7 linked regions of the Oryctolagus cuniculus genome follow. The protein of the gene in region 1 interacts with the protein of each later gene in a biochemical or structural test. Links are inferred from orthologs where the notes say so. Each region holds a gene or a part of one and is shown in the gene's direction. Other genes may lie near its edges. The genes, in order: PTEN, CSNK2A2, NHERF2, MAGI3, PRDX1, SLC25A3 and MAGI2.

Region 1 (3,500 bases):
TTTTGTGTAGAGACACAGACTCCTTTTCTCCATTTTGGTTTATATTTCTTGGAAATGGGTTATTGTATGTTTAGTTCCCCAAGATTTAGTTTTTTGATTAGAGAGAAATAAGTATGAATAGGAAGTAATAAGGAGTGAAAAAATGGAGTTTATTTTAATATGCATTTAGAAAGAGCAGTTTGTACTTTATATTCTTTAGAAAAGTTCAAGAGCTCATTGTAAAATAGACTATCTTGTTTAAAATATTAAGTGTGAACATTTAAAGCAGATCTAAGGGGGCCAGCACCATGGCATAGCGGGTAAAACCGCCCCCTGCAGTGTTGGCATCTCATATGGGCTCTGGTTCAAGTCCTGGCTTCTCCACTTCCGATTCACCTCTCTGCCATGGCCTGGGAAAGCAGTGGAAGATGGCCCAAGTCCTTGGACTCCTGCACCTGCGAAGAAGACCCAGAGGAAGCTCCTGGCTCCTGACTTTGGATCTGTGCAGTTGTGGCCATATGGGACTGAACTGGTGGATAGAAGACCTTTCACTCTGCAACTCTGCCTTTCAAATAAATAAATAAATAAAATAATTTTTTTTTTTTTGACAGGCAGAGTTAGACAGTGAGAGAGAAAGGTCTTCCTTCCGTTGGTTCACCCCCAAGTGGCTGCTACGGCAGGCACGTTGCACCGATCCAAAGCCAGAACACAGGTGCTCCCTCCTGGTCTCCCATACGGGTGCGGGGCCCAAGCACTTGGGCCATCCTCCACTGCCCTCCCGGGCTACAGCAGAGAGCTGTCCTGGAAGAGGAGCAACCAGGACAAAAAAAGATTTATTTACTTTATTTGAAAGGAAGAGGCAGAGAGAGAGATAGGTCTTCCATCACTCCCCAAATGGCTGCAATGGCTGACGCTGGGCCCATCCAAAGCCAGGACCCTGGAGCTTCCTCCTCCAATGTGGGTACAGGGGCCCAAGGACTTGGGCCATCTTCCACTGCTTTCCCAGGCCATAGCAAAGAGCTGGATTGGAAGTGGAGCAGCTGGGACTTGAACCAGCGCCCATACGGGATGCCAGCACTGCAGGTGGTGGCTTTACTTGCTACACCACAGTGCCTGTCCCTTCATATTATTTCCAAGAAGTGATTTTTTTTAGAATAGTCATTTTAGAAGAAAAAGTGATCAAAAGATTCCCTCACCCCGGCGTCTTTTATTCTGAAGGTTTTCAGGCATACATTGTCATGTAAGAAACTGAAGTTACTGTGTTTGTATTACTGTGAAATAAATCTGCTGTTTAATCAGACAATTGCACTTAATTTCCAGGAACTTCTGTTAAAATAAATCTTGGATTAGATAGCTGATTAAATCATAAAGAAAATTAAATCATACCTGATTTTTGTTTATGCCTACACGTAACTGTACACATTTCTAAAGCTAGTATTAGAGTAGATAGAAGTTATTTTACATAAGACTTTAAGGTCGTTCTTAGCTATTATCTACAGTTTGAGTAAAAGAAACACAAATGAATCAATGTAACAGGTACCTGCAGGTTGGCGTATAGTAGTAGTGTTTTTGTTTACCTTTATGAAGAATATCAAACGATGCATAATTTTGTTGACTTCTTGGGGCAGATATTGAATATAGGTGACATGTTTTTCTCCAACAAAAATTTAAAATTAGACATTTCTTTCCTTTTTTTTAGGACAAAATGTTTCACTTTTGGGTAAATACGTTCTTTATACCAGGACCAGAGGAAACCTCAGAAAAAGTAGAAAATGGAAGTCTTTGTGATCAAGAAATTGATAGTATTTGCAGTATAGAACGTGCAGATAACGACAAAGAATATCTAGTACTTACTTTAACAAAAAATGATCTTGATAAAGCAAATAAAGACAAGGCAAACCGATACTTTTCTCCAAATTTTAAGGTCAGTTAATAACCCTTTGTGGAGTCAGTGGTTACATGCATACGTGCCTGTTTTATTCCAGGTGTGCAGATGAAGAACTTGGCTGACTGATTTTCAAATTAAATGATGTATTGTTTAGAAGCAATGTTTATGAAACAATAACCTGAATGTTTCTAATGAAATATCAGGATACAGAAAGAGTCAAAGGAGCTGCGTGTTTCCTTCTCCTGTTGTTTGATGAAATCTGGGACAGAGGTGTGAGAGGGGAGTTAAGTGAATGGGTTATGAAGTAGAAATGGGGGAATTTGTTCACTGCTGCTCACAAATAGGCTTGCTTCTTTCACTCTTTTTTACACTTTTAAAAGACGTACTAGGTACTTGCATAATTTAGTGTGGTTCTGCCTCCTTTGTTACCTCTATCCATATTCTTTTATGCTCTCTGGGATTTAGTCATAGTGGTGTGGCTTCAGTTCTTGCAAATACTGTTTCTGCCTCTGGTCTTACCAGTTCTTTTCCTTCTTCCTGTACCTTTCCACCCTAGTCTTTTCCCTTACCTTCATATAGGCCTTCTCTCATTGTCCTCCCCTGCTACTTCTTTCTCAGATTCCTCTCTGGTTCCTCATATTATGTGTTAGAATTAATTGATTTGTTTCATTTTTGTCTGTATGTGATGTATGTGTGTCTTTGAGTGTGTGTACTTCTATTTATAGGTGTGAATTCTTCAGATTAAAAAATCTGACTTGTAAACATTCCCAAATAATAGTTCACCATTTTTTTCTTTCCTTTGGCTATTTTTATTTTATTTATTTATTTTTTTTTTACAGGCAGAGTGGACAGTGAGAGAGAGAGAGAGAGGGAAAGGTCTTCCTTTTGCCGTTGGTTCACCCTCCAATGGCCGCCGCGGCCAGCGCACCGCGCTGCCGATGGCAGGAGCCAGGTACTTATCCTGGTCTCCCATGGAGTGCAGGGCCCAAGTACTTGGGCCATCCTCCACTGTACTCCCGGGCCACAGCAGAGAGCTGGCCTGGAAGAGGGGCAACCGGGATAGAATCCGGCATCCCGACCGGGACTAGAACCCGGTGTGCTGGCGCCGCAAGGCGGAGGTTTAGCCTAGTGAGCTGCGGTGTCGGCCCCCATTAACTTTTAAAATGTCTTTTTTGCTTTGGTTTTGTAGTTTTCTGTTTTAATACCTCAAGAGGTTTTATATTTGTGATTACAAAAACTATTTTTAGTAAACCAGTGTATTGTCATATATATCATGGTAAATGCTGTGAAAAATAGAGATGAGATAGAGAGTACTTTTATTGGTTTTATTTGTTTTGGCTAGCCTGATTAGAGAAGATCTCACCAAACTGTTGACATTTAAGTGGAAGCCCTAATTCAGATGAATGAGATATACCGGTATCAGGGAAAAGAGAGAAGAGAAGATGCAAAAACCTTGAGATAGGAGTAGCTTAGTTTATTTGAGAAATGAAAAGTCAGTGGCTAAAGGAGAGTAGACAGGAAAACCAGTCCATGTGTGAAAATATCGAAATATTTTTCAGCACAGAACTGGTGTGGTCTAAATTTTTATCTTTAAACATTGGCTCTACTCCCATAAAATATGGACAGATGAGGA
Region 2 (4,235 bases), on another chromosome or scaffold:
TGGCCATAAAGGTCAGGGCTGGCCTAGGCGAAGCCAGGTCTCCCATGTGCATTCCAGGGGCCCAGTGACTTGGGGGCCACCTTCTGCTGCTTTCCCAGGCTCATTAGCAAGGAACTGGATTGGAAGTGGAGTAGCTGGGACTCAAACTGGTGCCCAAACGAGAAGCCAGTGTTACAGGTGGTGGCTTAACCTTCCACACTGCAATGCTTGCCCTGGGTCTTTTTTTCTTAAAGATTTAGTTTATCTGAAAGGCAGAGTCACAGACAGGAGGAGATGGAGGGAAGGAGGGGGAGAGAGAGAGAGAGAGAGAGAGAGAGAGAGAGAGAGAGGCAGCCAGGACCCCAACCAGAGTTCATGCGGGATGCCCAGGCGGCAGGGTAATCTACAATGCTGAACTCCATCAAGGGCCTTATCCAGGAAGCAGCATGAAAAAGGATGGGAGTCAGAGCTGGCTGGCTGGGTGAGGGGCCGCTAAGAGTGGGGCAGAAGGGGGAGCCAGCCACAAGGAAGACCCAGAAGATGCAGGAGAGAAGAGAGTTCAGGGCTAGAAGGCACAAAACAGGCCAGACTGGCCACCCCAGCTTAACCAAGTGACCGAAGTGGACGTTCAGAGAAGGCTCTGGAAGAGAACGTGGGGGACGGTGTAGGAGAGGGGTTTTGTGGGGAAGACTTGGGATGAAGGAGCATGGGGTCTCAGGACAAGGAGTCTGCGAGTGACAGAGCAGGGTCCACAGCGGGGAAAAGGGATTAAAACACACACACACACACACACACACACACACACACACACACACACGAGGGGAGGGGACATCTTGAGGTGGGGGAGGTTCTGCGGTTGAAGAGTGCGTCACTGGGGAAGAGCGGTTGGGTAACAGGGCTATCAAGACCGGGTACTGCGGGAGGTCTTGGGGTGGGTAAGGTCTGGATGACCAGAGGTGACGGTCTTGGGGTGGGCGTCTCGGGGTCAGTCCTCAAGGGCTCAAGGGCAGCCGACGGCAGGCGGGGTGGCCCTGCGGGAGAGACCCGGCCAGCCCCAGGATGCGGAGAGCCCGACCGGCGCGCCGGGGCGGGGGGCGGGGCCGGCACCGCCCCGCGGGTCCCCCCACGCTGCAGGGGGCGCTGTGAGCCTGGGCGGCCCCGGGCTGGGCGGCGGCCGCTCCTAGTGAGCGCGGCCCCTTTTCCGGGTTTCCTCCGCCTCCTCCTCCTCCTCCTCCTTCTTCGCCGCTGCCCCTTTCCCGGCCGGTGGCTGCCGCTGCCGGTGCCGTCGCCGCCGCCGTCGCCGCAGCCGCCGCCGCCGCCTGGGGGCCGCGAGCCGAGCGGAGGCCGCCGCGGAGCGCGAGCGCCGCCCGCCCCGCCGCCCCGCCGGCTGCTCCAGGGCCGGGCCGGCTCGGCCGGCGCCCCCCGCGCCCCCAGCCCGCCCGCCCCCGCGGGCCCGGCCTGGCGCGGCCGCCCGCCGCCGCGCTCCTCCTCCTCCTCCGGCGCCCCGCGGCCCGCCGCCTCCTTCGCCCGCCGCCCCGCGCCCCCCGCCGCGCCGCCGCCGCCGCCCTCTGCGCCCCGCGGCGCCCCCCGGTCCCGCCCGCCATGCCCGGCCCGGCCGCGGGCAGCAGGGCCCGGGTCTACGCCGAAGTGAACAGCCTGAGGAGCCGCGATTACTGGGACTACGAGGCTCACGTCCCGAGCTGGGGGTAAAGCCGCCGCCGCCGCCGCCCCCCGCCGGGGCCTCTCACCCCCACCCCCGCCGGGCCGCCCCCCGGCGCAAACCGCACTCGGCCCCCGCGATCTGCCTCCCGCAGGCCGCTCGCCGGGGCAGGGCTGGGCTGGGCGGCAGAGGCCCCCACCTCGCACATGTCCTCCTCTTCCTCTTCCCTCACCCGCGGCCGTTCCTCCCCCGCCCCCAGCTTTGTGCACCCCTCTTGCCCCTTCCCTCCGGCGGGGGGGGGGGGGGACCAGGGCCTAGCGCGGAAGGGAGGCAGCAGCCGCCCCTCAGGCTGGGGGTTTCTCTCGGGGTGGGGAGTCAACAGCTGTCTTCTATGAAAATGCGCTGCTTTTTTAGTTTTCTGACACGAGGCGGGGTGGGGGGGATTTTTTCGAAAGATGTGCAGATTCTCAGAGCTGGCGCTGGCTACCTTCGGGGTGTGAAATAGGGGGCAGGTGCTGTGGAACCGCGGGCAGGGCGGAGTGCTCCCAGGGTCTGCGAGATGGATGATGGACTCAGAGCGTCTACCCCCAAGTTACAAGGGACCAGTTAGGTTGGGAGCCCTGCAGAGCAGCAGGAGCCTGGTGTGTGTTGTAGCTTTCATATAGGGACTGAGTTGCAGCATGGATTATAGACACTTCCAAGCGCTTGGTTCGTGGAAGTGGCCGGCCGGGGCGTATCGTGGGCATAGGCTCGGCGGACCCCAAGGCCCAGCATTTATGTGTGTCTTTTGCCTCTCACAGTAATCAAGATGATTACCAGCTGGTTCGAAAACTTGGTCGGGGAAAGTATAGCGAAGTATTTGAGGCCATTAACATCACCAACAATGAGAGAGTGGTTGTAAAAATTCTGAAGGTGAGTCTCCTATAAGTGGTTTGTAACTTTTTCCCCCACAGGCCAAAAGGACGTGAGTTACCCGAGCCTCGTTTCTAGAACGAGCTGTGCCGGCTCTTGCGTTATGTCTCTTCTGTCCAGGACGCCCGGATCCCACCCCGTTTTCCTTGGACTTAAGAAAACACGCAGACCGGCCTTAAATCTAAGCAGAACGGATCAGGAACACCCTTGTTCTAAAATGTAAATTAGAGGTTCCCAAAGCAAAAATCCCAAAAGGGCCCCATTTGTTACAAAATAAATAAATATTCAGAGGGAAGAAAAGCCTTTTCATGGAGATTCCATGGATCCGAGGGCTCTTTGAGCGCTGTGTTTGTTAGTCCACAAAGAAAGTTGGAGAAAATTGGAGCCAAGGGGAAGGAAACTCCTCGGGGTGATAACCACTTGTTTCTCCTCTGACAGTGAAGTTTCAGGTGGGACAGCTGAGGGGCGCAGGGAGTGCTGGGAGCCCTGGAGCTGCTTATCAGCTAGTAAAACTGGAGTTAGAAGGCACTTTTAATCACTCAAGCTGTTGGAACAAAACTGTCTGATGTCTGCTTTCGCAATCTTAAGTTTGATGATAGGCCTTCTGTTATCTCTTGAGTGAAGACGTAATGAGCCTGAAGAGTTGGCTTCAGGTAACTGTGTGGCTTTAATAATGTTTTACTGGGTGTCCTGCAAAGTTGTTCTTAGAAGCTGTCATGGGTCTTCATTATCGCCAGATCCCTGAACGTGTGTTTGGAGAGGGTCTGTGGCGGGGGCTGTGGGGCTCAGAAGCTGCCTGTGCATGTCAGGCTGTGCGGGGAGGCCCTGTCCTCTCAGGCCGGGCTCAGGCTTTCTGGGAGCCGCCTCTCAGAACCGTGCCCAGCAGCCTCGCTCAGTGCTGTCCTAGCCGGTGATGGAGGAGCAGGATTCTGGTAGAGAGAAAGCGGCAGAGGCCGCTGTGCCGTCAGACGCTGGGCACATGAAGTGAGGGACGGGTGTTAGGGATTTGCAGACTGGCGCCCCCTCCCCTGAATATGAGCCACCAGTGAAGTCCCAGGGCCTCCCCCCACCCCAACAAGCATAAATATGTGAAGAAATGGTGTTCCTTCAAGGCAGTCACCTGGGGAGGCCATGTAATTCCTCTGTGTACATAAGCAAAATGCTTTACTGCAGGCTGCTTTGACTTGAAGCAGAGCTGAAGTTGGAATTAGAAATAGCCGTATTCCCCAGCTGTCTGTCTGGAAGAATGAGTGCTGACTCTGAGGCAGTTCCAGAAAAATGTCTAAACTTTGGTGCAACAGCAGCATTGTTAGAGTAAGTGCCATTTCCTGTGTCCTCTTTGAACGGCGCAGCGTTCAGGTGTGTGTGTGAATGCCTGTCTGTCCAGGAGAGCATCGCGTTGCTCCTGGGTCATCCTTGCACAGCACTTCCTGGTGACTAGAGAGTTTTTCCTGTTCTCTGAAGCGTGCTGGGATGTTTTAGGGAACTCAATATGAAGACTGCCACAGGTGGTTTTTACAAAGGAGAGGCCCAGGCACAAAGAAACTCAGCCAGCTCACCACCAGCACTGCTGCTCCCTGCTTTTCCCTCTCAGCTTTCTTCGGCGCTGGATTGCGGGATCTTCATGTTGCGCCCAGAGTAAGTTCCAGTGTTCTGGAATGAGCTCCGCAGGCCCCTCTGGTGT
Region 3 (4,138 bases), on another chromosome or scaffold:
CACACCCAGGCTCATTTCTAACTTCCCACCTAACACTTCCTCACCCCTCAAACAATGTGGCCACAAAGCTACAGCCTGGCAGGTACTGGGCGCTGCGGGGTGGGGGCACACAGTGGGCGCAGGGTCCAGGGTGCCAGCTGCAGCTGGACAGGCGGGTGGTCAGCCCAAGGCACCGACCCTCAAGACCTGCAGAGGTGAGGGTGGGGGCACCCACGATGCCACGAGCTCCTGGAGGTGGGCACCCAGGGGGCCACGGTGTGGGTGGGGGCTGGAGAGCCCAGGCCAAGAGAACTGGAGACGGGAGAGCAAGGGGTGAGGACTGGGGCCCACCTGGGAACTGTCTGGACTGCTGCGCCCCACCCCTGGGGCAGGCATGGGCAGGGGTCCCTGCTGGGCTGGGGCGGGGCAGGCCAGGCCGCCTCAGGCCTCAGCCGTGAAGGCTGCAGGCTTGGGCCGCACAGCCCTGGGCCTGGGGGAGGGGTGCTTCCCTCTGTGCCAGTAAAACTGCACCTGGAGAGGCCTGGCCAGGCAAAGTGCTGCTGGCGGTTGTCAGCCGCAGGGCAGGGGAGGCGTGGCAGAGGCAGGGGGCAGGTGCCAGAGACCTCGGCTCAGGTGTGCCGGTGCTGACCACAGAGTACAGAGGCCAAAGTCTCGGGGCAGGAGGCCAGCCCCCGACCGACCCTGCAGCCTGGGACTCCAGGGTCTGCCGGGGCCTGGGGTAGGCCTCAGCCAAGTGCGAGAATGGAGGGCCGACCTCTAGGGAGCCCACGGGCACACAAAGCCCACCCTGTCACTACGGCCTCCAGGGGCCTCCAGGCAGGTCGTGGGGCTCTGTGCAGGGCAGCCCTGGCTGCGGGAGGGTCCCGGGGGTGAGGGCAGTGGCTGGGGAGCAGGTGAACCGTGCGGGTGGGCAAAGGACCGCCCAGGGAGGGCAGGCAGGGCCTCACTCCGGGGCCTCCCTGGGGGTTCTGCCTGGGGCCACTGTCTCCCACCTGGCCCCCAGCTCAGGAGCCGGCTCTAGGCCCTGCACAGGAAGCCAGAAGCGCTGGCACCAACGTGCTGCCAGACACAGGGGTTCCCCGGCCCTGAAGCCTCCCCTCCAGAGCCCCTCGGGCAGCTGGGGCCGGGAGGCAGGGCCAGGCCAGCGCGTCGTGGACCCGGGGCGGGGGCGGCCGGGCGGCGGGGGCGGGGAAGGGGCGGGCGCGGGGGCGGTGCCCCAGCCCGAGCCGGAGCCCGAGCCGGAGCCCGAGCCCGAGCCCGAGGCGACTGGAGCCGAGCGAGCGCAACGCCGAGGCGGCCGCCCGTCCCCCGCGCCGCCCCCGCGCCCCGGCCTGCGGGCCCCGTAGCGCCGTGGCCAGCCCGCGGCCGGCCGGTGGTCAGCGGGCGCCATGGCCGCGCCGGAGCCGTTGCGGCCGCGCCTGTGCCGCCTGGTGCGTGGCGAGCAGGGCTACGGCTTCCACCTGCATGGCGAGAAGGGCCGCCGTGGGCAGTTCATCCGGCGCGTGGAGCCCGGCTCCCCCGCCGAGGCGGCCGCGCTGCGCGCGGGGGACCGCCTGGTCGAGGTGAACGGCGTCAACGTGGAAGGCGAGACGCACCACCAGGTGGGTGCCGCGCTGCGCCCCGGCCGGCTGGGCGCTGCCTGCGGGTGGCGGGCCCCGCACCTCCCCCGCGACGCTCAGCCCCGCACCGCAGCGCGGGGGAAGGCGTTCTGGCAGGGAGGGGCCGCACTGCGGCTCCAAGCCGGCCCTCGGCCCCCTCCCCCCGCCTGGCTCCAGCCTGTGTGTCGGTGAACCCGGGTGCTTCCTGAGCCTGTGGGACTGTGTGACCGCGCAAGGCCTCCGGGGTCCTGCCCGTGTGGGTGCCAGCAGCCAGGCCCCTGCGCGTCTGGGCGGTGTAGACCGGCCAGTGTGTCTGCAGCCGGGGTGCCTGGATCCGGTGCGAGTTGGCAGTCCCTGGTGGCACATTCCATAGCTGCTGCGACCCTCACCCTCCTCGGGGCGCTGTGGCCACTGCCCCCTGCTCCTGCAGCTGGAGAGGGTAGGGCCTCTTCCCTTGCAGGCTGTAACCCCTGGGATGTCCGTCTCCCGCTGGCCAGGGACTCACCTCAGATCCTGGCCAGAGTCCAGCCTCCCTCCGGACCGGCTGCTCCGGCTGCTCCGTGTCCCTCACAGCACCGCTGAGCCTGTGGCCTGTCTACGTGGCCAGTACTGGGCCTAGGGGTTAGCAGACAGCTGAGCCACTGGCCGGGCTTCCCGGGGTCCCCTAGCCTCTGTCTTCCAGCGAGACTGGAAGCTGGGTAGAGCGGTGCTGTGTGCTGAAGTGCAGTGGGGGTCAGGGCCACAGGTGGGGGAGGCAGGGCTGGCAGAGCTGGCACCCCGCCTCTGTGTGACAGCCATGGCCATCCTCGCTCCAGCTGCACCTGCTGTTCCGGGCCCCTGGGCACTTGTCTGAGAACTTCACACCCAGCCCCAGCCCCAGGAGGTGCGGCCGGGACTCTGCTTTACAAATATGGAAACTGAGGCTTGGAGCTTCAGTTTGGGTCACAAGTCGGGGAGCAGGGCCGGGCGAGGACGGGCCTGGCTCGCTCCCCCTGTTGCTTGACAGCATCTGGGGAGCTGGGCAGCAGGTGGGAGCCTTCTGCTCCGCTCTTCCACAGGCCGAGGGCCATAGTGGGCACTGCCCTCTCCCTGCTGGCACACGCTGGCACCCTGTGTGCTCCCAGACACACAGCGCCTGGAACGCCGCACCTGTGCCACGGGCAGACCTGCCCCTCTCCCCGCTGTCCTCCTTACCCGACCGTGTGCGGGGGCCTGAGCGGGAACCCAGCTCTCAGCTGTCCGCAGGCCCAGCAGGAGTGGGTCTGTGGTCTGCAGGCAGACGGTCTGTGTCTAGGGCAGGTTGAGATTCCCGTGAGAAAGTTGAAAGCAAGCGAACATGCACAGCCAAACTAACACCCGACAGCACCTCCCGCCTCCAACCTGGGCTGGAAGGCAGACTTGGAAACAGATGGTGCGCACACACGAGCGTGTGCACACGCACGGGCAGACCGAGCCCCTGAAGCTCATTCAGTGCCGTCTTGGTCACCTCCACCCTGGGCTGAGAGCAGCTCAGGGCTGGCTGTGTCAGGGAGCCGGGGGCGGGGGGCGGAGCCGGCGGGGCCAGCCGCCCACCCCTGGCAGCCTGGCTGCCTGTCTGCCTGCCAGCCCAGGCCATCCCGGAGTGGTGCCACCGTCCACGTGCTGCCCGGGCTGCCGGCCGCTGACCTGCCCCCGTCCCTGCCTGCCCCAGGTGGTGCAGAGGATCAAGGCTGTCGAAGGGGAGACCCGGCTGCTGGTAGTGGACAAGGAGACGGACGAGGAGCTGCGCCGGCGGCAGCTCACCTGCACCGAGGACATGGCCCAGCGAGGGCTCCCGCCCGCCCACGACCCCTGGGAGCCAAAGCCGGACTGGGCACGTGCAGGCAGCCTGAGCTCTGACGCTGGCCAGAAGGTACGGCAGCCTCTGCCCGTGCGGCCACCCTGGCCTCTTGACAAGTCTTCACCCCGCCCCGGCTGCCTTCTGGGTCCCTCTTCTCTCAGTCCGAGTTCCTAACTGGGGGTAGACAGGACAGCTCGGCCCCCTTCCCGGCTCGCTCTCTGTCCCTGCCCTTAGCCTGGCCCAGGGCGACGAGGCCCTTCCTGCCCGGTGGGCGGAGTCACCGGACCCTGGGAAGGAGCGAGCCTGGCCCCTCAGCAGCGTCTGCGTCTCTGTCTGTCTGTCTGGTCTGAGTGTAGGGTGAAGCCCTCGGAGAGAGCTGGCCCCAGAAGCTGCTGTGCGCAGCCTGGTTCAGGAAGCTTCTAGGGCGAGCCCACCCTTCCCCCAGTCTTCAGCAAAGACCCCCCAGCCGCAGGAGGGGTGGGGACCTGGAAGTAACCCTGCGGGGCAAGCATGTGAGCCCTGGGGAAGAGCCGTCTCCTACCTCTTTGGTTGACCACATCCCTTGGGGGGTTCCGCCTAGGGGTTCCCCAGATTCCGCTTTGAGAACCCCCGGCCTGGGGGCAGTGGAGGTATTGGGCCTAACGTGTGGGGTGGGCGGGGGCCTTCACGTGGACCTTTTTCCTTTCCCACCCTCTCCCACCACAGCTGGCTGCGCTGTGAG
Region 4 (3,500 bases), on another chromosome or scaffold:
ACACAAACCAGTGCCCACATGGGATGCCAGCATCACAGGCAATGGCTTTACCCACTATGCCACAGCACCGGCCCCAAACACTTTTCTTTACAAGTTATCCAGCCTCAGGTATTTTGTTATAGTAATAGAAAATGAACGAATCCAACCATATGCTTTATTAGTATTAATTTTTCAGTGCTTAATTCTCATTCATTCTAAAAGTTTTCAATGCTTCTCTTAGATTTTGAAGTACTTGAGCCTGCCATGCCTGTGCCAAGTATTCTTCTAGGTGCCAACATAGATTTCCTACTTTTAAACTATATTTGAATTTCTAACATAAACCCTGCATGATTGTGAATTATTCTTTTGCTTTGTTGTTCACTTTGTTAGCAGTTCAGCCATTTATTCAACAGATACTTAGTGCCTACTATCTGCTGGGTACTGATCTGGGTATAGGGGCAAACAAAACACAAAAACCCCTGCCTTCAGGATGCTTACTTTTTTATATTTTTATTTTTTAACTTTTATTTAATAAATATAAATTTCCAAAGTACAGCTTTTGGATTATAGCGGCTTTTCCCCCCATAACCTCCCTCCCACCCACAACCATCCCATCTCCCTCTCCCTCTCCCATCCCATTCACATCAAGATTCATTTTCAATTATCTTTATATACAGAAGATCAATTTAGTATATACTAAGTAAAGATTTCAACTGTTTGCATCCACGCAGAAACACAAAGTATAAAGTACTGTTTGAGTACTAGTTATACTGTTAATTCACATAGTACAACACATTAAGGACAGAGATCCTACATGGGGAGTAAGTGCACAGTGACTCCTGTTGTTGATTTAACAATTGACACTCCAATTTATGGCATCAGTAATCACCTGAGGCTCTTGTCATGAGTTGCCAAGGCTATGGAGGCCTTTTGAGTTCACCAACTCCACTCTTATTTAGACAAGGTCATAGTCAAAGTAGAAGTTTTCTCCTCCCTTCAGAGAAAGGTACTTGCTTCTTTGATGGCCCGTTCTTTCTGCTGAGATCTCACAGAGATCTTTCATTTAGGTTTTGTGTGTGTGTGTGTGTGTGTGTGTGTGTGTTTTTGCCGGAGTGTCTTGGCTTTCCATGCCTGAAATACTCTCATGGGCTTTTTAGCTGGACCCGAATGCGTTAAGGGCTGATTCTGAGGCCAGAGTGCTGTTTAGGACATCTGCCATTCTATGAGGCAGACCAACACTCTTGGAACCTAGCTCTGTTATCTAGAATGGATCACCAATTATCACTGGTGTGCTCTGGGAAGTCACAGAGCAGGCTGCATAATGGGTCATGGACTCTGTCTCCTAGATAAATGTAATTGAGTGTGTTCATTTCTAATTTCTATATTGTATGGATGAGCCAAACAAAAATGAAAGTGGGAAGTAAGAATATGATTTCTGTTCTTGTGACTTGTAAGCATTAATCAAAAGCCCAGGTGGGAAAGATGTTAATGTTCCAGTTCCGGACAGCTGCCAGCCATGCTGCTCTCCCTGAAGAGTCGGCTCACAGCTGCTTGTCTCATTTTGATAGATCCTGTTGGCCGCATGCTTTTCTGTATCCGTTCTTACTTCTACTGTTTTTTCATTTGAACAGAACATCACGGTCCACCATCAGGAACAAACTCAGCCCGGCAGAGCCCAGCACTGCAACACAGGCCCATGGGACAGTCACAGGCCAACCACACACCTGGGGACAGGTGAGGTTGTTCTTAGATTTTCGCTCCTGATCTCCCCAATCTTCATAACCCACTGCATCCCCAACTCCCATGCTGTTAATGTGAAAGCCAGCTGTTGAGGTCAACATAAGAACTCTGGCAGGTTCCACCCTCAAATACTTTCACTATTCCCTTTCCCCCAGTGTCTCCATCCCTCTCCTCAACCCCTTCCCAGGCGCGGTGCGATTATCCTGTCATGAGAGTTGCACGAAGGTGGAAAGAAGTGACAGCAGCCTCAGCTTCTGCTGCTCTTGTTCATTATGGTTTTGATGGGAAAACTCCAGGGGCTGGCGCTGTGGTGCAGCGGGTTAACGCCCTGGCCTGAAGCGCCGGCATCCCATATGAGCGCCAGTTCAAGACCCAGCTGCTGCTCTTCCAATCCAGCTCTCTGCTATGGCCTGGGAAGGCAGTGGAAGATGGCACAAGTCTTTGGGCCCCTGCACCTGCGTGGGAGACCCAGAAGAAGCTCCTGGCTCCTGATCGGTGCAGCTCCGGCCGTTGCGGCCAATTGGGGAGTGAACCAGCGGATGGAAAACCTCTCTCTCTCTCTCTCTCTCTCTCTCTCTCTCTCTCTCCTCTGCCTCTCCTCTCTGTCTGTGTAACTCTGACTTTCAAGTAAATAAATAAATCTTAAAAAAAAAAAAAGTTCCTCCAAAAAAAAAAAAAAAAAAAAGATTGAAAACTCAAGATCTGCAGATCTGCTTGGGTTGTCGTCTCAGACTGCCTGAGCAGAGCAGAGCAGAGCATCTTTCTTTCCTGTTTTGTTCAAACACAGCCATGGAACAAAAACTAGATTTCCAGAAACTCAGCAACTGCAGGAAAGCTGTTTTTCACTGTGACAAGGTCAGCTTCTCTGCCCTCTGTTCAGCTACTGAGTGCAGTTTTCCTTGGTGGGAAACCGCACTGAGATGCCCTTGAGAAAGACAGTGCTGGCGTCAGACGTGGGCTGGGTTGGGAGTTAAAGGCCGGGCTTCTCAAGCAGCCCTGGTTCCGGACACAGTGAGCCAATAGTGATTTGTCAGAGGAGAACGGCAACGTTTAGCTTTTCAAAGACAAGAAATTAACCTGCCTTTACTTTTACAATGATTCTCATTTTCTCACTTACAAGAGTGACTTGACTTCTCTCTTGTAGAAGTGCCCTGGAAGGTGAAGTGGGAAAAGATGTCTCCACTCCCTATAGACATTCCTGGTCTGACCACAAGCACCTCACCCCACCTGATACCGCCGTGATCTCCGTCGTGGGCAGTCGGCACAATCAGGTGAGCCAGGATCCCCCAAATGCAGACCAAACTTTTGAGTTGCTGTGTTAGTGCTATGGGTGAAAGCTTAGTGCAAATCAGTTCAGAAATTTGTTCCAAAAATAGTGCTTGTCTACCTGGCTGTGTATTCACATTCAGTTATCTTCCATGAAGGATTGTAAAGAGAAAAGTTGACTCTTCCAGTAGAAGAAATTTGAGCCCTCAATTAAGTCCTTAGAAGTAAATAGTATTTTAACTAAACAAAATAGGAGTCACTTTTTTTTTTTTTTTTTTCAGGAAAATGTCAAAATCTAGTTAGAGGAAGCACCTTCTAAATCTCTGTTTCCTGAGTGTTCCATTGCACATTGACCAACTAGTAGGGAAGATGTGTAAATCTTCAGATTCATTAGGGGCATTGACAAAAACAACCCTCAAACCCAAACTAATCTTCCTTCCTCACGATGCAGGATGCATACGAGAGTATGAATTATTTCTTGCAGCTATAAAAGTAGCCTTTCTTCAAAATGTAAA
Region 5 (3,500 bases), on another chromosome or scaffold:
TAAGTATTTAAAAAAAATAACATATTGTTAGGCAGAGGACATCTTCCCTTGCTTATTTTGCCCTAGAGAAGAATTAAGTTGGAACAACTCCTCCTTCTGTCAGTTTCTTGCAGACTCTTGGCAAGTTCTCTGGAGGATTGCCTTGCCTTGAATTCCCAGAGTAGCTGGGTCTCCTGGGGCGATTGAGGATGTATGTAGATACCTTAGAACAGAATCCTGAAATGCACATGTCAGGAGTGCCCTTCTTAGTAGGGTAGTGTCATCAGTTCCTAGAGTTGGATTTTGGGTAGAACATTTGATGAGGTCCCTTGAACATCATACTTGGTTGTTGGGGTGAGAGCACGTAATGGGGTTTTCTGTGCAGGGGTCAGCAGCTTCTGACCCAGGTGAATAGCACCATAGGGAGGGGACCTTGCTAAGGGTGCAGACAAGTAGCAGGAGCTGCTCTCCAGTTCCCTAGGGCTTGACCTGCTGAGGCGTCAAAGTGCTTGTTAATACAAAGCCCTAGAGAAGGTGTTTAGCTGAGTCAGTTTCTACTCTTTTTCCAGAGTGAATGTCAAGGGCTGCTTGTTAAGACTTTTCAGACTTTGCTGCCACCTGGAAATAACTGAATATTTGAAATTGTTCCAGTAGCTCAGCCCATTAGGCAGTGAGAGGCTGCCTGGCCAGTTGGAATATCTGCTTAAATTGTAATCTGAGTGACTTTCAGTAAAATTGGAGCTAGAAGCCCTGTTCCCTATCAGTGCTCTTGGAACATTTTTTTTTTTTTTTTAAGATTGATTTATTTAGAAGGCAGAATGACAGAAATCAAGAGAGACGAATCTGGGCCTAGTGCTGTGGTGTAGTGAGTTAAGCCTGTGGAACTCTTAACCCATCTGGGTGCTGGTTTGATTCCCAACTGCTTTAGTTTCCATCCAGCTCCCTGCTAATGGGCCTGGGAAAGCAGTGGAAGATGGCCCAAATAGTTGGGCCCTTGCACCCACTTGGGAGACCTGGAAAAAGCTGTTGGCTTTGGTCTGGCCCAGCTTCAGCTGTTGGGACCATTTGGAGAGTGAACCAGTGGATGGAAGATACCTCTTCTCTCTGTAACTCTGCCTTTCAAATAAAAGAGAGATATATCTCTGGTTCACTCCCCAAATAACCACAACAGCAAAGGCTGGGCCAGACTGAAGCCAGGAGCCAGGAGCTTCATCTGCATCTCCTGGGTGTAGCAGGAACTCAAGTATCTGAGCTGGCATCTGCCTCGCAGTCTTCAGTCCTCTGATAGGATTTATGAATTTCTCAAGTGAGAGGGCAAGTGATCCACTGTACCACTCCACTTTTGGAACTTCCTTCTTAGGAAATATTTTTTAAGATTGATTTATTTGAAAGGCAGAATTAGAGGGAGAATTTTGGGGAGTGCTGGCTCACTCCCCAAATGGCTGCAATGGCCAGGGGTGGGCCAGGCTGAAGCCAGGAGCCAGTAGTCTCTCCTGGGTCTCCCACTTGGGTGCAGGGGCCCAAGTACCCTGGGCCACCCTCTGCTGTCCTCTCCAGCGCACCAGCAGAGAGCAGGACCAGAAGCAGAGCAGCTAGGACCTGAACTGGCACACATACAGGATGCCAGTGCTGCAGGCTGTAGCTCAACCCAGTGTGCCACAACATTGGCCCCTCTATTAGGTTTTTTAAGAAGACATTTCTTGTGATTCGTGTAATCATTTAAAGTTAACCATCCCATTACTGTAGTTTATCCATTGCAGAGAAGTGTAGAGGGCCTGGGTTCTTATAACCACCTTGCAGTAGAGGAGACACCAGCAATTCGCTTGGCACTGTTTGTCAGCACTGGAGTTAGGCCACCCAGTGCTGATAATTGTATCCTTGATTTTCTTTGGAAAATTTGGTGTTAATTTTAACCACTCAGAGAAGATCAAAATTAGTGTTTATATTGTAGTTGGTAGCTGTGAGAACATGGAGGAGACAGAATAAGGTGTGGAACTGGAAGGAGCATTTTTTACTTGGGTCCTCCTGCTGCAGCAGTTCTAGAAGAGCTGCTGAGAGACATCTGTATTGAGCATCTTGTTTTATTTTTTCATATTTTAAAAAGTATTTATTTGAAAGAGTTACATACAGAGAGGGAGAAACAGAAATCTTCCATCTGCTGGTTCACTCCCCAGTGGCTAGAGCTGGGCCAGGAGCTTCTTCTGGGTCTCTCACATGGGTGACAGGAGCCCAGGGACTACCATCTTCTGCTGATTCCCCAGGCACATTAGCAGGGAGCTGGATTGGAAGTGGAGCAGCTGAGACTTGAAACAGCAGCTATGTGGGGTGTTGGCATTGGAGGTGGAAGCTTTACCTGCTGTGCCACGACACCTACCCCAAGCATCTTAGTGTTTTAACAATTATTGTCTTTCATCAACTTAAAAAGCCTTTTTCCATAGGAAAATGTCTGCTTTATTCTCTCTGAATCAAGGAAGAGTGCTTAAAAGGCTAATCTAGGACTTCCTTTCCTTCCCCAGGAAAATATATTGTGTTCTTCTTTTACCCTCTTGATTTCACCTTTGTGTGCCCTACGGAGATCATTGCTTTCAGTGATAGGGCAGAAGAATTCAAGAAACTCAACTGCCAAGTGATTGGTGCTTCCGTGGATTCTCACTTCTGTCACCTGGCTTGGTATGTATATTGGCATGTAGAGTTCACTGACTTCCAGCTCTTCATGGAAGGACTGCAATGGTTCTGCCTTCCTTTGTTGCTCTTTTATTACCTGGCAGCAGAGGAGAAGCAGCTGAGTACACCCGGTGACTAACCTTAAATGTTCTCAGCCATTCACTTTACTGCTACAAAATATTTGAAGTTTTTTAGGAAGTTAGATTAGGAATATGGGAAAGAGGAAGAAATAAGTAGAGTTAATCTTACTATGCAAAAGTTTGCATGAATGGTCATACCTTACGTGTGCCTTTGTAGGATCAACACACCCAAGAAACAAGGAGGACTGGGACCCATGAACATTCCCTTGATATCAGACCCTAAGCGCACCATTGCCCAGGATTATGGGGTCTTAAAGGCTGATGAAGGCATCTCATTCAGGTTTGTGTACCTTCCTGGGGGGCGGGTGATCAGCATTATCCAGTTGGCTGAAAGCCATTTATTCTCTTATTTATTGTAAACCTTTTGTTGCGTCTCTCATTCTTCCAGGGGCCTCTTTATCATCGACGATAAGGGTATCCTTCGACAGATCACTGTAAACGACCTCCCTGTTGGCCGCTCTGTGGATGAGACTCTGAGACTAGTTCAGGCCTTCCAGTTTACTGACAAACATGGGGAAGGTAAGCACAGAGTGGTAATAGGGTGGGAAAGATGATAGGAGCAAAGACTACTAAACACTGTAAGAAGGAAAGGGTGATTATGCCTCTAACAAATTGAAATATCTGGATTACAGTGGATTATGGGGATGGGGAGCAATGGAAAAGCTTGGGGAAGATAAAGGCTTTTTTGTTCAAACTGCTTATTCTCCATTTCTGTCC
Region 6 (4,018 bases), on another chromosome or scaffold:
GCCTTATAAATTTGTATTTAGTTTGTCTAATGTTCACAAAACATTAATTCTAACGGATTACCATATACTGGGGATACAGACGTATCTTTTTATAGATTTTAAAATGTAGGAGTTGGTGATAAATCTCTTTAGTTTTGTTATATATTTTTTATTTATTCACTTATTTTTTTATTTATTTTTTATTTTATTTTATTTATTTATTTTTTTTTGACAGGCAGAGTGGACAGTGAGAGAGAGAGACAGAGAGAAAGGTCTTCCTTTGCCGTTGGTTCACCCTCCAATGGCCGCCGTAGCCAGCGCGCTGCGGCCAGCGCACCGCGCTGATCCGATGGCAGGAGCCAGGAGCCAAGTGCTTTTCCTGGTCTCCCATGGGGTGCAGGGCCCAAGCACCTGGGCCATCCTCCACTGCACTCCCTGGCCACAGCAGAGGGCTGGCCTGGAAGAGGGGCAACCGGGACAGAATCTGGCGCCCCAACCGGGACTAGAACCCGGTGTGCCGGCGCCGCTAGGCGGAGGATTAGCCTAGTGAGCCGTGGCGCCGGCCTCAGTTTTGTTATATATTTTTGAGGGAATTTTACCCTCTTTATCCCTCCAAGACCTAGTTTGATTCAGAGCTAGACTTTAATAAATACTTATATATTTTTTAAGCTATTAGATATTCAGTGAATTCATGTTGACCTTTTGTGTAGTTACTGAAATTTTATTTTAAAAGAAAAATTGGTAGTAATGTAATTGTGTATGAAAAGTACAGCTAATTGATTTGTTTTCTTATTTTAAATAAAGGTGGACCCTCAGAAGTACAAGGGCATATTTAATGGATTCTCAGTTACACTTAAAGAGGATGGTGTTCGTGGTTTGGCTAAAGGATGGGCTCCGACTTTCATTGGCTACTCTATGCAGGGGCTCTGCAAGTTTGGCTTTTATGAAGTCTTCAAAGTCCTGTACAGCAACATGCTTGGAGAGGTATGTGATTTAACTTTGAAATTGAAAGTCCTGGGTGTTTTTAAAAGTTAAATATCAAAAAGGATCCTAGTTACTTTTGTGTGACTCACCATGTTTTACAACTGGAGAAATGGTCCCAGGAAGAATGGGCAACATGCCTGAAATCATAAGACTGCTGTCAGAGATAGGGTGAGAAACAATATTTCACTAAATTTCAGTGCCTTTTGTATTACACTTTGTCACTTGCCTAAGTTGAGTTTTGAGTTTGATTTTTTTTTTTCCTTAAAAGAAGGTCCTAGGTATTCATTTGTTTTGATCCAGTGCCAATTACACGTGTACTTGACACCTAGATAGATGTTCAAAAAAAGTTCACATTGTTGTATAGTTAAGTTAATGAAACTGAAAACAACATCTAATGTAATGTGTGTTATCCATGGACTGTGTGGTAAGAAATACTGTTAAAATGGCTGACAACCTAGTGGTTTCCTAGAATGGTTAATTAAAGTTAAATTAAACAGATGCAACAATTCATATGTCTCCTTATGTTTTGTATTTTAGGAGAATGCCTATCTGTGGCGCACATCACTATATTTGGCTGCCTCTGCTAGTGCTGAATTCTTTGCTGACATTGCCCTGGCTCCAATGGAAGCTACTAAGGTTCGAATTCAAACCCAGCCAGGTTATGCCAACACATTGAGGGATGCAGCTCCCAAAATGTATAAGGAAGAAGGTCTAAAAGCGTAAGTAAGCACTTCACTAAATTTATAGTTTTAAAAATACTTTTTGGGGGTAACTTTTTTTTTTTTTTTTTTTGGCAGTAAGCTCACCAGAGTGTTTTGTAGGTCTTTTTAAAGTTATGTTATTTAACTTCTAGTTACCTGTAGGTGGCCCATAAATTCTAGGGGTAAGATAAGTTAATACAAGGTTCATGTCCTGAATTAACTTTTTTTCCTCTCAAGTAAGAACCATTTGTTACTCTGCAAATGATTTTGATATTTGACCTAAACATGTACTTTTTTAATTTGGGGGGAGGACTTGTTAAAATTCTTGCAATCTAGCTATAAGGCCACAACATGCTTCCTTAGATCCACCTTTGTGGATGAATCTTAAACTGAGTTCTACTTGTAAACTTTTTGTTTCTTGTAGTTCCAGTTAAAGAAACATCCAGCAACTTTTTTGGTTGTATAGTCAAAGGTGCTTGAGTCATTGGCATGTGAGATAAATATACCTGCATGTTAGTCTAATGTTCTGATAGAAATGACATGCAGTAATGCTGTCAGTTTTCACTATCAGGACTAGGCTGGTGTGCGGACACTTCTGTTAATGATGAAACTCGGTGCTATATGAATATTTGCAACCATGTAACTAAGTTTCATTACCTAGATTCTACAAGGGCGTTGCTCCTCTCTGGATGAGACAGATACCATACACCATGATGAAGTTTGCCTGCTTTGAACGTACTGTTGAAGCATTGTACAAGTTTGTGGTTCCTAAGCCCCGAAGTGAATGTTCAAAGCCAGAACAGCTGGTTGTAACGTTTGTGGCAGGTTACATAGGTATGAATTCTTTAGAACACACTTGTCTGTAGAATTATGGGCAGATAATTTCCATGTTGACCTCTTTGAGGAAAAAATATTCCAAAGGTTATAAAGTCAGTTGATTTCCTGTAACATTTTATGTACCTTCTGGATTAAGAAGTACTTTCTAATTATTTCCTGTAAGGATTGCTTTCAGGTTTGCCTGATAATTTTGTGATAATGTCATTATTAGGCGTGGGAATGTGTTTCTTTTACTGTAGCATTTTTTGTTTTGTTTAGCTTATTAAGAATACATTTTTAATGCAGGAAGAAGTGTTGATTAAAATGTCATATTAAAAACTTAAAGGTTGTTTTTACATAGCATAGACTGCTTTATAACCTTGCCAATCTTTAAATGATTCTATAACTAAAGGAAAGAAGTCATGAAAAAAAGACAGTTGTCTGTAGTGTGAAATTTTTTAACCCTGTATTGAATCATTTTTTCCCCCCAGCTGGAGTCTTCTGTGCAATTGTTTCTCACCCTGCTGATTCTGTGGTATCTGTGTTAAATAAAGAGAAAGGTAGTAGTGCGTCTCAGGTTCTCCAGAGACTTGGATTTAAAGGTAGGATTATTATTATTATTTTTTTAATTTCCTGTGAAGAACATTGGTTTTGGGTATATGGCATGCCTACATTCATATTTCCTGTTTGATCCAGGTGTATGGAAGGGACTCTTTGCCCGTATCATCATGATTGGTACTCTGACTGCACTACAGTGGTTCATCTATGACTCTGTGAAGGTCTACTTCAGACTCCCTCGCCCCCCTCCACCTGAGATGCCAGAGTCTCTGAAGAAGAAGCTTGGGTTGACTCAGTAGATAGATCGAAGCAAATGTGGACTGAATCTGCTTGTTGATCAGTGTTGAAAAAAGTGCAAAAGGAACTTTTATATATTTGACAGTGTAGGATATTGTCTATTCCTGATAAAATTACTGTAGTACCCTTGCTTAAAGGCAAGAGTTTCAAACTTACTGTTGAAATAAACCTATCTGTTCATGATTTGTCTGTGACGTGATATTTTAAAAACTAGTTTTTAGGGGCTGGTGCCATGGCACAGAGTTGGTTAAGCCATCATCTTCAATGCCAGCGTCCCATATGGGTGCCAGTTCATGTTCTGACTGCTCCACTTCCAATCCACTCCCTGCTAATGCTCCTGGGAAGGCAGCAGCAGATGACCCAAGTCCTTGGGCCCCTACACCCCCGTGGGAGACCCAGAAGAAGCTCTTGGCTTTGACCTGTCCCAGCCCCAGCTGTTGTCATTTTGGAAGTGAACCAGCAGATGGAAGACTCTGACTTTGCAAAGTAAATAAAAAAACCAAACACTGGTTTTTATTAAAAGATTTAATCCTAAAACAGGATTGAAAGAACCCAAGTGTAAAAATTCAAGGTACAAATTCAAGCTAACCATCAGTGGTTGAATATTTCAATCCCTATTCACAAATTATCATGTCTCAAGTTTTGTCTCTTTGTACATTTAGGAATCATGTCCTAAAGTCCTA
Region 7 (4,252 bases), on another chromosome or scaffold:
AAAGAGAAAGGAAATTTCTATTCTGAACCCTGCCCACCTTTGCTGGCAAGCACCGTGCATGTTTTACCTGACTTCACCTCAACACACCCTTCTCAGATTAGTATTTTTAACCTGATTTACCAAATAAAAGAAACGGAGGCTTAGAAAGGTCAATTGGTTTAGTTAAGTTCACACTTCTACTAAGTAGCAGAGGAGGGATTCAAACCTGGTCTTTCTGTTTGGGTCGACAGAACCTTTTTTTATTTTTGAAATTGAACTGCCTGCCTCCCACATTTCCTTCATCTCAGACATCAAGAACCTTCACAGCCCAATGCTTTTCAGACTCTGCTTTAAAGACATGAGTGGGTGTGCGACTTTTGTGTGTGTCTGAAACATCTCATTTGAAAGTTAAGCAAATTGAAATTCATTTACCAGTTACAGGAATTAAGAAAAAAGATCCTCCTAATGTCTAGCGCGAAATGAGGGCGCACACGAACATCAGCAGCGCACCTGCATCCTGGGGCCCCCCTGGCCCTCACCTCTCCTCTTGGCTGCAAACTTCAAGGCAAGGAGAGCTCCGGATGGAGCCCAACCAGCCCAGGGCTCGCCCTGATTCTGCCACTACTAGCCCCGCCTCGGCGCTTGCTCTCCTTTCTCGGTAGCATTGGCTTCTCGGGCCAGGTCATCTTAAGGTTTCTGCCCAAGTACCAGTCCTACTGGTATGTCCTTACCCACCCTGCGCCGCAGGTCCCAGATTCACCTTTCCACTCCTGCAGCACCAGCCCAGCAGCCCCTCGCTTTCCGTCGCTGCTAAGCGGGAAAGTCAAGCCCTTGTAACCCTGGGGTCCCCAGCACCGCGTTTCAGCGGACAAGCCCGGCCCCCGCGCCTAAACGCTGCCCTGGGGACGTGAAGCTGCTTCGCCTTGCGCCCGCAGGTCCGGCCCAGCAGCCGCCGTCTCCCTGATTCTGCCCTGCTCGGGCTCCGCGACGGACTATGTGGCTGTGAAAGCCCAGAGTCCAAGAGTCCCAGATTAGCAGCGCGGAGCTCCCAGGCCTTCCTTCCCCTCTCCTCGGCCACCACGAGCCGCGTCCCGGCACTTCCTCACGGACGCGTCGGCCGCGCGGGTCCGCGAGCTCTCTCAGCGGCGGCCGAGCGCGGCCCGGGGGCTGCCACAGAGCCCCGAGCTAGGTCCGCGCCGGCCTCCTCCTAGCGGGCCTCGGCTCCCCTCCTTCCCGGCTCCCGCCTCCTCCCGCAGGCTGCCAGGGAGACCCAGACTCTCTCTCTCTCTCCCTCTCTCGGCCTTCACTACCGGGTCAAGCTGCCGAGGGAGGGAGCGAGCGAGCGCGACAGCGGCGAAGCGCCCCTCCTCCTGGGCCTTGCTGCCGTCTCCCCTCAGCCCTTACAGTACAACACACACAAGCACACGCACACGCGCGCGCGCGCACACACACGCGCGCTCCCGCGCGGGCCCCGCCGCCGCGGCTGCCATGGATATCCGCTAACAACACAGCCGGCGCGCGCGCCCCGCGCACCACGCAGGAGTGGCCCCCGGCTCCCGACCCTTCTGCCCCACCCCCACGCGCCGGCTCCCAGCGCCGCTCGGTTTGCTCCGGCCGCCGCCGCCGCCGCCGCCGCCACAGCTTCCTCTGCTGCGGGGCCACAGCCTTGAGTGTCATTCAAGGGACAGCACCACCTCACCCTCGCTCTCCCACCTCTGCCCCGCCGTCCCTCTCTCATCCTCCCCCCCGTTTCTCGTCCACACTCCATCCCAAGAAGAGGCAAAGCGCCGAGCGGAGCTGGGAGGAAGGCGAAGTCTGCTCTCCTCACCCCCGTGCCCCCCCCACCCTCCCGTGCCTCCATCCCTGTTCGCGCCCCTATCAGCCCCTCTCCTCAACCCTCCAAAGGAGCCCCTTAGCCCCTGGAACTGAGGCGACCCAGCCCATTGCCATGTCCAAAAGCTTGAAAAAGAAAAGCCACTGGACTAGCAAAGTCCACGAGAGTGTCATTGGCAGGAACCCGGAGGGCCAGCTGGGCTTCGAGCTGAAGGGGGGCGCCGAGAACGGACAGTTTCCCTACCTGGGCGAGGTGAAGCCCGGCAAGGTGGCCTATGAGAGCGGCAGCAAGCTGGTGTCGGAGGAGCTGCTGCTGGAGGTGAACGAGACCCCCGTGGCGGGGCTCACCATCAGGGACGTGCTGGCCGTGATCAAGCACTGCAAGGACCCCCTCCGGCTCAAGTGTGTCAAGCAAGGTGAGCGCCGCGGCCGGCTCGTGCCGCGCCGCCGGCGGGACGGCTGGGGGGCGGCGGGGCGAAGGGCAGGGTGGGCGCGCCTAGGAAGGGGGTGTGTGGCGCGCCGCTGGGGTGGGGTCCGCCGAGGTCCTCCGGGAGGCTGCGCGGAGGGGTTAGTGCGGCTTGCGAGGTGAAGTGCAACTTTGTTTGGGTACTGAGACCCCCGGCTGCAGAAGGTGCCTGGCCTGGTCTGACCTCCTGAGGCCAATTGAATGTGCGTCAGTGGCATCGCCCGCAGTGGATGAAGAGATCTGGGGATGGGAGAAAGGAAGGAGAGGAGGAGGAGGAGGAGGGAAGGAGAGGGGCAAAGAGGAAGAGGCAACTGGAGGGTGCAGCGGCATCCCCAGCGGGGCTCTGAGGAGCAGAGGGCGGTGGGGCGCGCGGGCCTGGAGACGCCGAGGTCTCCCCCTACCACTGTCCCCCGGGGGATCCCCGTGCCACTGGCTGGCGATGCAGGGAAGGGACGCATGGCTTGGGGCGCTTTGACGGATCTTCTGTAACTTTTTCCCTGCCTCACCCTCCGGGCCCCCTCCCCCGCCCCGGTGGCGTCATGTGGGCACCGCGCGCGTCACGTGCGCACTGACTAACCCCACCGCGCACCCTCGGCCGGCAGGCGGCCGCCGGGAGGAGGCTCCGGAAGCGGGCGCCGCTCGGGGAGCCCCGGGCGAGCGCGGGGCTGCTGCCTGGAGCGCGCCGTGCTGGGGGCTGCCCTGGCGGGGTGGGAGTCCCCTGCCCGCGGGATTGGAGGGGGCGTGTTTCTGAGGGGGAGCAGTGGGATGGGGATGCCGCTGGTTGCAGCTCGGGCGCCTTCAGCTCCAGGCTGACTCTGATGGGCTTCCGCGGAAGGCTGTGTCGTGTGTGGATGCTTGCAGAACTCTGTTCAGTAACTCTCTCGTGTCTCGCAAGAAAATTGTGGTCCTGAGGGAGGAAAGACTGCGATGCAAGTTTGGCTGGAGGGCAGTTTGAGCTAGAATAAAGTGGATCTCTGTTTTCCTCGCGCGGTTGCACACTTTTTCCCAGCTTCAGTGGACGTTTCCAGGGCAGCGTGTGTGTGTGTGTAGGGGAGCGCTCTCGTGTCAGTCTGGAGGGTGGCTGTCCACCTGATGTTGTTTGACCCTCAGAGGTGGAATCAAGCCTGCTATTGCCTGCGTTTTCAACGACCATTTAATCCCCTGGCATGATCAACTACAGAGAAACACTATTAAGGGGATGTTCCTAGCTAGAAAAGGGTTCTGCAAAAACACTTGTTTAAAGGTAAACAAGAGAAAAAGAAGTCCGGCAAAGTTTCTGAAGTGTTAATTGCCCCACAAGGCAATGACAGTGGGGATTCTTGAGTATTAGTAGAACGGAGGCTAAGGGAAACATTGATTTTAAGTCATCACGATGACTGCCTGACGCTGAAGAATACGCAAATAAGGGAATTATTTGGTATCATATATTCTATGAAATTCAGGGGAAAGACAACATGGAAAAATAAGGGTATGAAAGCAGTTATTAAATATTGGAAAGATACCAGGTAAGAAAGGAAATTCTGGCTATCCTGTAATAGTTCCCAGGACAAAACTAAGACGAAAACAGGGAAACATTTAAAAGATGGAGCATCTTTATCTTTGCATTCATTAAAGGATCCGTTTTCTGTTAGGACCTTCCAGAAATCTGAGCAGTACCGTAAGTTGAGGCTCCCATTATTGCGGTTGCCAAAATGACCGTTTATGGGCACATGAGCTAGATAGCATTAAAATCCTCCATGATTTGGCCTAAGATACTCTCTCAACTTCTGTATTTTATTTGGAATACTATTACTTCTATAACTCAGGAAATACATACGTAGGTAGTAATATATTTAAGTGAAAATCTTTACGTTCTGTGTTACCGCTCAGTTCCAGGTTTCACTGGTTAATTGGTGATAGGTTCTTGAAATTATGTTCACAGAGACTCCACGGGAACCTGATTCACCCCTTGAATCACTATTGACAAAAAAAAAC

The links.
Region 2: the proteins of PTEN (region 1) and CSNK2A2 form a complex in vitro, tested with the Homo sapiens proteins (2 studies listed by BioGRID, with this or other methods). The link is inferred for Oryctolagus cuniculus from reciprocal best matches to the Homo sapiens genes PTEN and CSNK2A2.
Region 3: the proteins of PTEN (region 1) and NHERF2 form a complex in vitro, tested with the Homo sapiens proteins (2 studies listed by BioGRID and IntAct, with this or other methods). The link is inferred for Oryctolagus cuniculus from reciprocal best matches to the Homo sapiens genes PTEN and NHERF2.
Region 4: the proteins of PTEN (region 1) and MAGI3 form a complex in vitro, tested with the Homo sapiens proteins (2 studies listed by BioGRID and IntAct, with this or other methods). The link is inferred for Oryctolagus cuniculus from reciprocal best matches to the Homo sapiens genes PTEN and MAGI3.
Region 5: the proteins of PTEN (region 1) and PRDX1 form a complex in vitro, tested with the Homo sapiens proteins (2 studies listed by BioGRID and IntAct). The link is inferred for Oryctolagus cuniculus from reciprocal best matches to the Homo sapiens genes PTEN and PRDX1.
Region 6: the proteins of PTEN (region 1) and SLC25A3 form a complex in vitro, tested with the Homo sapiens proteins (2 studies listed by BioGRID). The link is inferred for Oryctolagus cuniculus from reciprocal best matches to the Homo sapiens genes PTEN and SLC25A3.
Region 7: the proteins of PTEN (region 1) and MAGI2 form a complex in vitro, tested with the Homo sapiens proteins (2 studies listed by BioGRID and IntAct, with this or other methods). The link is inferred for Oryctolagus cuniculus from reciprocal best matches to the Homo sapiens genes PTEN and MAGI2.

The regions. Positions count from the first base shown.
Region 1 is NC_091446.1:42,726,683-42,730,182, reverse strand, and holds part of PTEN (phosphatidylinositol 3,4,5-trisphosphate 3-phosphatase and dual-specificity protein phosphatase PTEN), read left to right. Parts: intron 1-1,678; coding exon 1,679-1,903; intron 1,904-3,500. UniProt on the Homo sapiens protein: Dual-specificity protein phosphatase, dephosphorylating tyrosine-, serine- and threonine-phosphorylated proteins.
Region 2 is NC_091449.1:41,552,430-41,556,664, reverse strand, and holds the start of CSNK2A2 (casein kinase II subunit alpha'), read left to right. Parts: upstream 1-1,435; 5' UTR 1,436-1,581; coding exon 1,582-1,685; intron 1,686-2,439; coding exon 2,440-2,551; intron 2,552-4,235.
Region 3 is NC_091450.1:33,196,704-33,200,841, reverse strand, and holds the start of NHERF2 (Na(+)/H(+) exchange regulatory cofactor NHE-RF2), read left to right. Parts: upstream 1-1,338; 5' UTR 1,339-1,388; coding exon 1,389-1,601; intron 1,602-3,288; coding exon 3,289-3,489; intron 3,490-4,138.
Region 4 is NC_091438.1:56,692,869-56,696,368, reverse strand, and holds part of MAGI3 (membrane-associated guanylate kinase, WW and PDZ domain-containing protein 3), read left to right. Parts: intron 1-1,610; coding exon 1,611-1,713; intron 1,714-2,863; coding exon 2,864-2,990; intron 2,991-3,319; exon of another isoform or gene 3,320-3,500.
Region 5 is NC_091438.1:127,373,074-127,376,573, forward strand, and holds part of PRDX1 (peroxiredoxin-1), read left to right. Parts: intron 1-2,495; coding exon 2,496-2,649; intron 2,650-2,940; coding exon 2,941-3,063; intron 3,064-3,171; coding exon 3,172-3,302; intron 3,303-3,500. UniProt on the Homo sapiens protein: Thiol-specific peroxidase that catalyzes the reduction of hydrogen peroxide and organic hydroperoxides to water and alcohols, respectively.
Region 6 is NC_091442.1:101,540,601-101,544,618, forward strand, and holds the end of SLC25A3 (solute carrier family 25 member 3), read left to right. Parts: intron 1-783; coding exon 784-963; intron 964-1,500; coding exon 1,501-1,682; intron 1,683-2,012; exon of another isoform or gene 2,013-2,258; intron 2,259-2,325; coding exon 2,326-2,498; intron 2,499-2,971; coding exon 2,972-3,082; intron 3,083-3,176; coding exon 3,177-3,337; 3' UTR 3,338-3,518; downstream 3,519-4,018. UniProt on the Homo sapiens protein: Inorganic ion transporter that transports phosphate or copper ions across the mitochondrial inner membrane into the matrix compartment. Mediates proton-coupled symport of phosphate ions necessary for mitochondrial oxidative phosphorylation of ADP to ATP.
Region 7 is NC_091434.1:144,051,635-144,055,886, reverse strand, and holds the start of MAGI2 (membrane-associated guanylate kinase, WW and PDZ domain-containing protein 2), read left to right. Parts: upstream 1-1,452; 5' UTR 1,453-1,927; coding exon 1,928-2,228; intron 2,229-4,244; exon of another isoform or gene 4,245-4,252. UniProt on the Homo sapiens protein: Seems to act as a scaffold molecule at synaptic junctions by assembling neurotransmitter receptors and cell adhesion proteins. Plays a role in nerve growth factor (NGF)-induced recruitment of RAPGEF2 to late endosomes and neurite outgrowth.